Xenopus tropicalis: one gene and its partner. The protein of the gene in region 2 purifies or fractionates together with the protein of the main gene of each other region. This does not show direct contact. Links are inferred from orthologs where the notes say so. Each region holds a gene or a part of one and is shown on either strand. Other genes may lie near its edges.

Region 1 (4,312 bases), on a different chromosome or scaffold from region 2:
CTCTGCAGCTCCAACCCCGCCCAAGGAAAGTCACCCATAGGGCTCAATGGCACTCTGCAGCTCCAACCTGGCCCAAGGAAAGCCTCCCATAGGGCTCAATGGCACTCTGCAGCTCCAACCCGACCCAAGGAAAGTCTCCCATAGGGCTCAATGGCACTCTGCAGCTCCAACCTGGCCCAAGGAAAGTCTCCCATAGGGCTCAATGGCACTCTGCAGCTCCAACCTGGCCCAAGGACAGTCTCCCATAGGGCTCAATGGCACTCTGCAGCTCCAACCCGGCCCAAGGAAAGCCTCCCATAGGGCTCAATGGCACTCTGCAGCTCCAACCCGGCCCAAGGAAAGTCTCCCATAGGGCTCAATGGCACTCTGCAGCTCCAACCCGGCCCAAGGAAAGTCTCCCATAGGGCTCAATGGCACTCTGCAGCTCCAACCCGGCCCAAGGAAAGTCTCCCATAGGGCTCAATGGCACTCTGCAGCTCCAACCCGGCCCAAGGAAAGTCTCCCATAGGGCTCAATGGCACTCTGCAGCTCCAACCCGGCCCAAGGAAAGTCTCCCATAGGGCTCAATGGCACTCTTTCCTTGGGCCGGGTTGGAGCTGCAGAGTGCCATTGAGTCCTATGGGAGACTTTCCTTGGGCCGGGTTGGAGCTGCAGAGTGCCATTGAGCCCTATGGGAGACTTTCCTTGGGCCGGGTTGGAGCTGCAGAGTGCCATTGAGCCCTATGGGAGACTTTCCTTGGGCCGGGTTGGAGCTGCAGAGTGCCATTAAGCCCTATGGGAGGCTTCCAAAATCATGCACAGAAGGTTTCAAAGTTAGAAAGGTTTTCGCGCCATTTACGATCATTCGGACCGTACCACAATATTTACGTATGACCACGATACAAATTTTTCGCGTTTTTAACGCACATCATAAATTATCGGATTTAATACGAATTTTTTTCTATTGAAGTCCAGAATTCGGACTTCGATAGACGGGCCCCAAAGCGTGATTGTTACTTTAGTTGCCTCAATATTCCCACCAATAGAAGGCTGGGAGACATTACCTACATTAAAAACCACAACTCCCAGCCCCCCCCTGGCAGCCATTGGCTAGCTTTGGAATACTAGGACATACACTACAGGACCACAATTCACCCCATAACCAGAGTAGTTCTTGTGGGAGCTACAGCCCAAAAGCTTCCTCACCAACTCTTACCATCCCTCCTCAGAGAACCCTCCCACACTGGGGCCCTAGGGCCCATGGCTGCCCTACATATACTATTCCCACCTCACAGACACCCCATATTAGAGCCGGGGAGCGCATCCCTGAGGTAAAAAGCGGAGAGCTGCTTGGAGTCACATGACTGCGCGTACCAGCGGGGCGGGAAAAATCGCGAGAAGCTGCGGGGCCGCGCATGTGAGGCGCGGGCACGCCAATGCGCACTCCCGCGGGTGCCGTGCACGGTGTTTCTCTCACACACTCACTCACTGTGTATCGCACTGTCCGGGGCATGGCCGCATCCCGGCGCTCTGCGCTCTCCTGTTTCCCGAGTATCCCTGCGCGGTGGCGGCTCCAGCTGGAAGCTTGATGGGTGGCTGCGGAGCGGAGGGAGAGGGCCCGGAACGGCTGGGCACAAGAGCCGGCTCAGGGCTGCCTGGGTGAGGAGCAAGGCCACACGGCTCTCTGTCTGTCTGTGTGTGTGTGAGAGGAACGGGGGGAGGAAACTTTCCAGGAGAGGCGGACGGATCCAGTTTGTAGGCCAGGCCCCGGCTTTGCCAGTACCGCTGGGCCGCATCTTACTGGGAAGCCCCGTACCCTGGCCCGTCTATAGGCATGCATGGGAACCCTGTGGCCCTGTACGTGGCTGTGGTAATAGAGTCCATCACAGGTTGCTCTGCTGCCCTTATTCCCAACATTGGGGCTCTGAATGCTTTGCTTTTCTGCTAGAGCATGCTGGGAAATGTAGTCCCAGGGATGAACATCACCAGACACTGAATGACTACATCTCTGGGCTCAGAGGGGTTACTGGGAGTTTTAATTCAGCATCATCCACAGGGCTGTATGGGGGATATCTGTCAGCTTTACTGGGGCTTTACTACATCCTTACTATATCTGGGGGGGGGGGACTATTTTGCAGGGATCCCATCATTAATGGGGGGGAGACAACTTATCTACGTGATAAGCTGTTAGTGGGGTGATGGGAGTTGTTTCACTGGCAAATGCACTGTGGCTGCAAACGATGGAGAATCCACAGCAGTGCGGTATTAGGGTGAAGACACACGGAGCTACTAGTAGCAGCTACTTGTCACGGCTACTATTATAGACAATGCTGATCATTTACTGATAATTGTCTCTACGTGTGTTTTAGCAGAGGCAATTCTCTGTATTGTCTATGGCAGGGGATTTTCTAGAGTTTAGTAGCCATGAAAAAGTAGCTGCTACTAGTAGCTCAGTGTGTCTTCACCCTAAGGGTAAAGACACACGGAGCTACTAGTAGCAGCTACTTGTCACGGCTACAAAAATAGACAATGCTGATCATTTACTGATAATTGTCTCTACGTGTGTTTTAACAGAGGCAATTCTCAGTATTGTCAGGGTATTTTCTGGTGTTTTGCAGCCATGACAAGAAGCTGCTACTAAGTAGCTCCATGTGTCTTCACCCTTAGGGTGAAGACACAGAACTACTAGTAGCTGCCACTGCCATAGACAGTGGTTTTGAAGTTATGTGTAAATGTAATTGGTATGGAAAAACGCTGCCTGGATGTTTGTATTCTCTGCACTGCTGGCTCTGACTTCTGCATAGCGGGGTGATGGGAGTTGTTTCACTAGCAAATGCACTGTGGCTACAAACGCTGGAGAATCAGCAGCAGTGCAGTATTAGGGTGAAGACACACGGAGCTACTAGTAGCAGCTACTTGTCATGGCTACAAAAATAAACAATGCTGATCATTTACTGATAATTGTCTCTGCGTGTGTTTTAGCAGAGGCAATTCTTAGTATTGTCAGGGTGTTTTCTGGTGTTTTGCAGCCATGACAAGAAGCTGCTACTAAGTAGCTCCATGTGTCTTCACCCTTAGGTAGCTGCCACTGCCATAGACAATACTGAGAATTGTCTTCTAAAACACACATAGAGACAATTATCAGTAAATTATCAGCATTGTCTATTTTAGTTGCTGCTACTAGTAGCTCTGAGTGTCTTGACCATTAAATCGATCATGGTGGGAATTGTATTCTGTGGGTTGTCCGGCAGTTTCACCATGGGTGGGAATTGTAGTTCAGCAAGGTGTTTATTGACCATTGCTCACTGTGTTCCATCACCTACCTTGGGCTTCTCACCCTTAAGGAAACAGGGGGGCTGCTGTGGCAATACCCGCAGGGCCACAGGTTGCTCATTGCTGCTGTAGGGACTAAGCCAGTTTATGTGTGGGTTGGGGGTATGATTGGCTTTATAGTTTTCGTTACAACTGCAGTTTTATGTAAGAAATGCTAAGGTACCGTGGGAGTGTGGGGTATTGTCAGTTCATGCATTAGCACTTTCCATGGTGCCCAATATATATTGGGGGCAGAAGTTCTCCGCATTCTGTGCATGTCAGAATCTGAATGCCGTAGCCAGACGCCTTGGGGGTGTGGGGGACCCTGTTTCTTGTGTTCCTACCTGCCTACCTGATCCATCGGCACCCAGTGCTTGGTATATTACTGATATATACTGATCATTTGCAAATAATCCTGCAAGGCTGTGTGCCCACTCCTGACTTATTATATCTGCTTTTGGTCTGACCAAAGAAATCTATCCTCATTGTTGGGGGGGAAATGTCTATTTATAAAAAAAAAAAAAGTGAATATATGTGTAATGTGATGTGTGTAAAAAAGAAAATATATATGTATAGTATATATCAAATTGGAATTAGAACTCTCAGGACCAGCAACTTCTTTGTTATATAATATTTGTATTTTTGACACATTATACAGAAGTCTTATAGTTATCAAGGAGAGATAGATATTTAAAATATATTTTCGTTGTAACTGACATGTAACTGTAAGCAGTATATACATTCATAAATGTCATTGGTTTTGAAGTTATGTGTAAATGTAATTGGTATGGAAAAACGCTGCCTGGGTGTTTGTATTCTCTGCACTGCTGGCTCTGACTTCTGAATCAGTATAGCAGAAACTATCGAGAGCAGAACTAACTTGTTTCAGGAGTCGGAACCAGAGAAAAGGAATGCAGACACATGTAGCTGGCTAGAAAGAGGATTTTTACACTGTGTGTGTGGCGAGTTAGTCTATTATAGCCCCCACTGGAAACAGTAAAAGGGATTGCCGGGCAGAAGG
Region 2 (4,404 bases):
GCATATTCCATAAGCCATGTCTGGTGTAACTGTAGCAGCAGTTATACTACTTTCAAATAAGAACCAAGACCGACCCAAATTTCTCTCTTTTAAAACCCCCTTCTAAATACCCCAAAAAAACCATTGGTGCCCCCACGCAGCACCATTTTTGTCTAGCCTACACCATTGTTACAAAGGACAGGGAAGCAAACATGGCTGCTTAATTGGGACAGAAAGTAATGCCTAAATTGTGGTTCTGTTACCAAACCCTTTTAATCCCCTGCAAAAATGGGAATAATCCACACCTAATCTGACCTGCCAAAAAGATGGAGGGGGTCAGCTGTCACCTTGTTCTACTCCCACATTCATTGGATCTCTGGATATATTCCTCTGCCACTGTGGGTTGAATTTTTTGAGTGTTTTAAGAAGGTTTTTTTTTAAAGGCTTTCATTTGTTTTCACTTTTTTTTATTTTATTAGATATTTCCACCTGCTCAGATATTTACTCAATACAACACATTTTAAGGGATTAATTTTTAAACCAAATAATAATACAAAAAGAGTCACATTTCTTTATACATGTGATAGCACAGTAATGGCACTCAGCTCTCCACTGAGTACAATTAATACAATTAAATGGTCAGATAATCCACCTGTATGTGTGAATACAATAGTGCTGCCCAGGTGTTCAGCTTTCTCAGGAAAGGACACATAAGAGGCTCAATACCACCTAAAATATATGAAAACTACAATTATCCATCTCTCTTTCTCTCAGTATGTCCATACGGAAGCTGCTTTACTGGTTTTACGATTGTATGTTTTCTGCTTTCCTACCTTCCCTTACCTTGGGAGGAGAACTACAATATAACTGCAGGCACAGAAAGGGTGTAAGCTGACATATCTGCTCCCTGCGTCATATATACTTTCTCAGTGCTTCCCCACCCAGAGTTTGCAGACTGTTCGGCCAGCCCAAAAGGAATGTAGGAGGAAAGTGATGACTTCCAGAAAATGACAACAAAGTGCTTTAATGTGAATTTGCTGGGAAAAAACTAAATATCCATTACTTTCCCGCACAGAGGTGGTAGGCAGTTATCTGTAAGTACAGTGTAGAGGCAGCCACATGACTGCTGGCTGGCAAGAGCTGTTATAATACTGCATCTATAACTGGGCTAATACAAGTATATTTTCACCTGTATATGTGTGTCCCTGCCACCTGTCCCTCTGCTTAGATATATGTTTGCCAAGGCTTGCATTCTCCTCTGCCCTGTCACAGTATCAGCTAATATTGTACCGCCATGTTTGTCATGGTCATGGAGCCCTCATACATCTGTTCTCATGTCAAATTCAGCCATCCCTCTTCATACCCCCAAGTTTATACATCCCAAGTCATCAAGCTGATGTAGTATGGGGGTGGTGTGGACATACTACATCTTCTTTTTACTTTATAAAAGGGCTGAAAATTGGCAGACTACCCTAAACCAGCTGACAATAACTAAGAGAAAAAAGAGCCAAGGATGACGACAGACCCCCTATGGGGATACAGGAGGGGTATGAAGGGGCTGCCCTTGTTGGAAACTTCACTAATGTCTTTCCCCTCCCTTCACCTTGGGTGATGTGGCAAATGAACTGTCCCACATGCCAGGGCAATAGCAACAGCACTTAGAACATTAGGTCTCCTCATACTGCAGCAGTACCTACTAGATGGCATAGCTGCCAGCATTCTATTTTATTCACAGACACAACCTGTATAATTGCCAATGACTGACAGCTGCTCACTGAGAGGTTCTGCAGCAGATAAACACTTGCCAGCATGATCAACAAATTCGTGCCATATTGCTAAATAATATGGGTTATGACAATTCTGCAATCTGACAACCCTCCCCCCTTATTGTGACATTCACCCTGCACAGAAAAATGACAGTAAAAAGCCTTTGAAGCAGTGACATTGGGAGGATTAAATCCCCGTTTTTTTAATATGTTATCTCCGTGTCTGTGAGGGTTTTCTCCGGGGTCTCTGGTGTCTTCCCACACTTCAAACACATACAGGCAGGTTAACTGATTCCTGATGAAATAGACTATAGTGCTTGTGTATGTGATAGGGACCTTAGATTGTAAGCCCCACTGGGGCAGGGACTGATGTGAATGATTTATAATCTCTGCAAAGCACACATATGTCAGTGCTTCATAAATACAGGGTAATAAATATTACAGTATATTATCTAGCATTGTAATGCTCCTCTCGCCTTACACAGTGTCACGCCAAATGGCTTGCAGCATGCCATTCTACATACACACCCAGGGCAAGCTGCACAGATCTACAAACATGAATAGATTGCATTCTGCACCCAGCACAACAAGACTGACGGGCACTAACCATTCCCACTACAAGAAGGTCTCTCTCCTTAGCAGCCCAGGTAGCTGAATGGCACAGGTTGGCACAATATGACAGCAATGCAAGCAGATTATGGCACAGACATATCATATACTCTCATGCTTCCCAGAGAGGAGAGGGAGCTTACCCAAAATCCTGGTCCATGGACTTAAAGAAGAATTTGTAATGATGCACAGGTCTGTTGCTGAGGACATTTTTAAAATCTGCTAAGGTCACTTTCTCAGGAGGAACAGGCAGTTTCACCAGATAAGGGGTTTCTTCTTCATCTATATGGTAGATGATTCTGGTTTCAGCCATGAGCAGAGAAATAGCAAGGGGGCTATACCCCCCAAAATGGCAATGCCCTCTCCTTTAAATTAAATCTGAATCATACGTAGATCCATATGTGAAGTCTCTCCTCTGTCAGTCACTCAATTTGCTCTCACAATGCACTGCTCCATGGATCCTCTAAACAGGAAGGGAAATGCAGAATCCTGATCTTGCAAGGTACTGGGAAATGGCTGAGTTGCTGGGCATTCTGCTCCCTGCACTGCCCTCTACAGGCTGATCGCGGAAATACAAACCCTGAAAGACCAGTATTTTTCCAGGCTCTGTTATATTCCAGACGCAGTTGAGCTGTTTCATTTGTACAAAGTAAATATTGTATATTACCCGCAGAAAACCATTTGCCCTTGTGTGGACAGTTTGGACAGATATGAATGCAATATAAAAAAAGCCAAATGCCTTATTTAGGGCAAATACTAACTACAAACATAAGAGTTGCAGCAATAGAAGTGTGAATTGTACAAAGAATTCAGTTTGAAATCAATACAATTGTAATATATGAACATAGTAGAAGGCATTAAATAGTTTCATGACCATATCAACAGTGGTGAGTAATAATAGCCAGTGCTGCTCTAACTATGCCCCTTTAGCCACTCAGTCTCAGTGGTGCAGATGTAATACAATGTGGTGAGCAGGGCAGTCTGGGGCCATAAATATCTATATTTAGATATAAATCTTTTACTAGTCTGGGGAATCTGAATCTAGTTTTGCACAACCACCCCTCTGCAGTTTTTGTAGGGGAAATATTTCTAAAATGACTGTTAATGACTTTAATGACTTTTAAATTATTTAAAATTTATTGTGAAATGTAATAGATATGTATAAATCTCTTACTATCACCTACTCCTTCTAACTGGTCTCCCATCAATCTATCTTAAACTCTGCTGCTAGGATCCTCCTGCTTTCTCCTAAGAGGGAACCTGTTCAGCCCAAGTAATGTCTGTAGCATAGCTGCCTGTTAAGCTAAGGATAGCATACAAAATCCTTTTGCTAACATTCAAATCCCTTCACTCCTCTGCTCCTCACTATATTTCTTCACTTGTCTCCCTGCATGTTCCTGGTCATCTCCTCTGCTCTTCTCAGAGCAGCCACCTTTTTACACCATAAACAATCCTCTATCTCACTGCACCTTACCCCTGGAACACTATCCCTGAAGCCCCATAAATCAAAAACATTATTTTGTCTAACCCTGCACTTAAGGACCAATGCCCATACCTTGTGTACTTTTGCTCCCCAATTTGTGCCTGTATGTTACCCAACCACTTAGACTGTAAGCTCTATAGGGCAGGGACCTCCTTCCTACTGTGCATCATAACACATGGAACTTAATCTCTGTGCATTTATACTTATTTATTGTATTTATTATAATACTTGTCCTCCTTGTGTGAAATTCTGTATGTTGTAAGATTGTACAGTACTGCTTATACTTGTAGCGCTTTATTAATAAAGTTATACACACATAAACACACAACTGCCAGCTTCCTATTTGTTGTACATTCTGTATGTAAATTATAAAAGTACACATGCCAAAGTTACACCAGGATATATGTCAAATTCATATACTCTAGTGGACTTGGTAGAACCATTAATGTGTGAGGGGAGGAACTGATGCAAATATAAACCATATAAACCCACAATGGAAACAGGCAAGGACTCCAGTATCCTAGAGAATGTTCCTAGCTACAACAGTTCCTACACAAGTTTACTAGG

The links.
Region 1: the proteins of dvl1 (region 2) and axin1 purify together in Homo sapiens (affinity purification with western blotting; 3 studies listed by BioGRID). This does not show direct contact. The link is inferred for Xenopus tropicalis from reciprocal best matches to the Homo sapiens genes DVL1 and AXIN1.

Annotation. Positions count from the first base shown.
Region 1 is NC_030685.2:15,101,823-15,106,134, reverse strand, and holds the start of axin1 (axin-1), read left to right. Parts: upstream 1-1,347; 5' UTR 1,348-1,638; intron 1,639-4,312. UniProt on the Homo sapiens protein: Component of the beta-catenin destruction complex required for regulating CTNNB1 levels through phosphorylation and ubiquitination, and modulating Wnt-signaling.
Region 2 is NC_030683.2:93,063,278-93,067,681, reverse strand, and holds the start of dvl1 (segment polarity protein dishevelled homolog DVL-1), read right to left. Parts: upstream 2,808-4,404; 5' UTR 2,668-2,807; coding exon 2,498-2,667; intron 1-2,497. UniProt on the Homo sapiens protein: Participates in Wnt signaling by binding to the cytoplasmic C-terminus of frizzled family members and transducing the Wnt signal to down-stream effectors. Plays a role both in canonical and non-canonical Wnt signaling.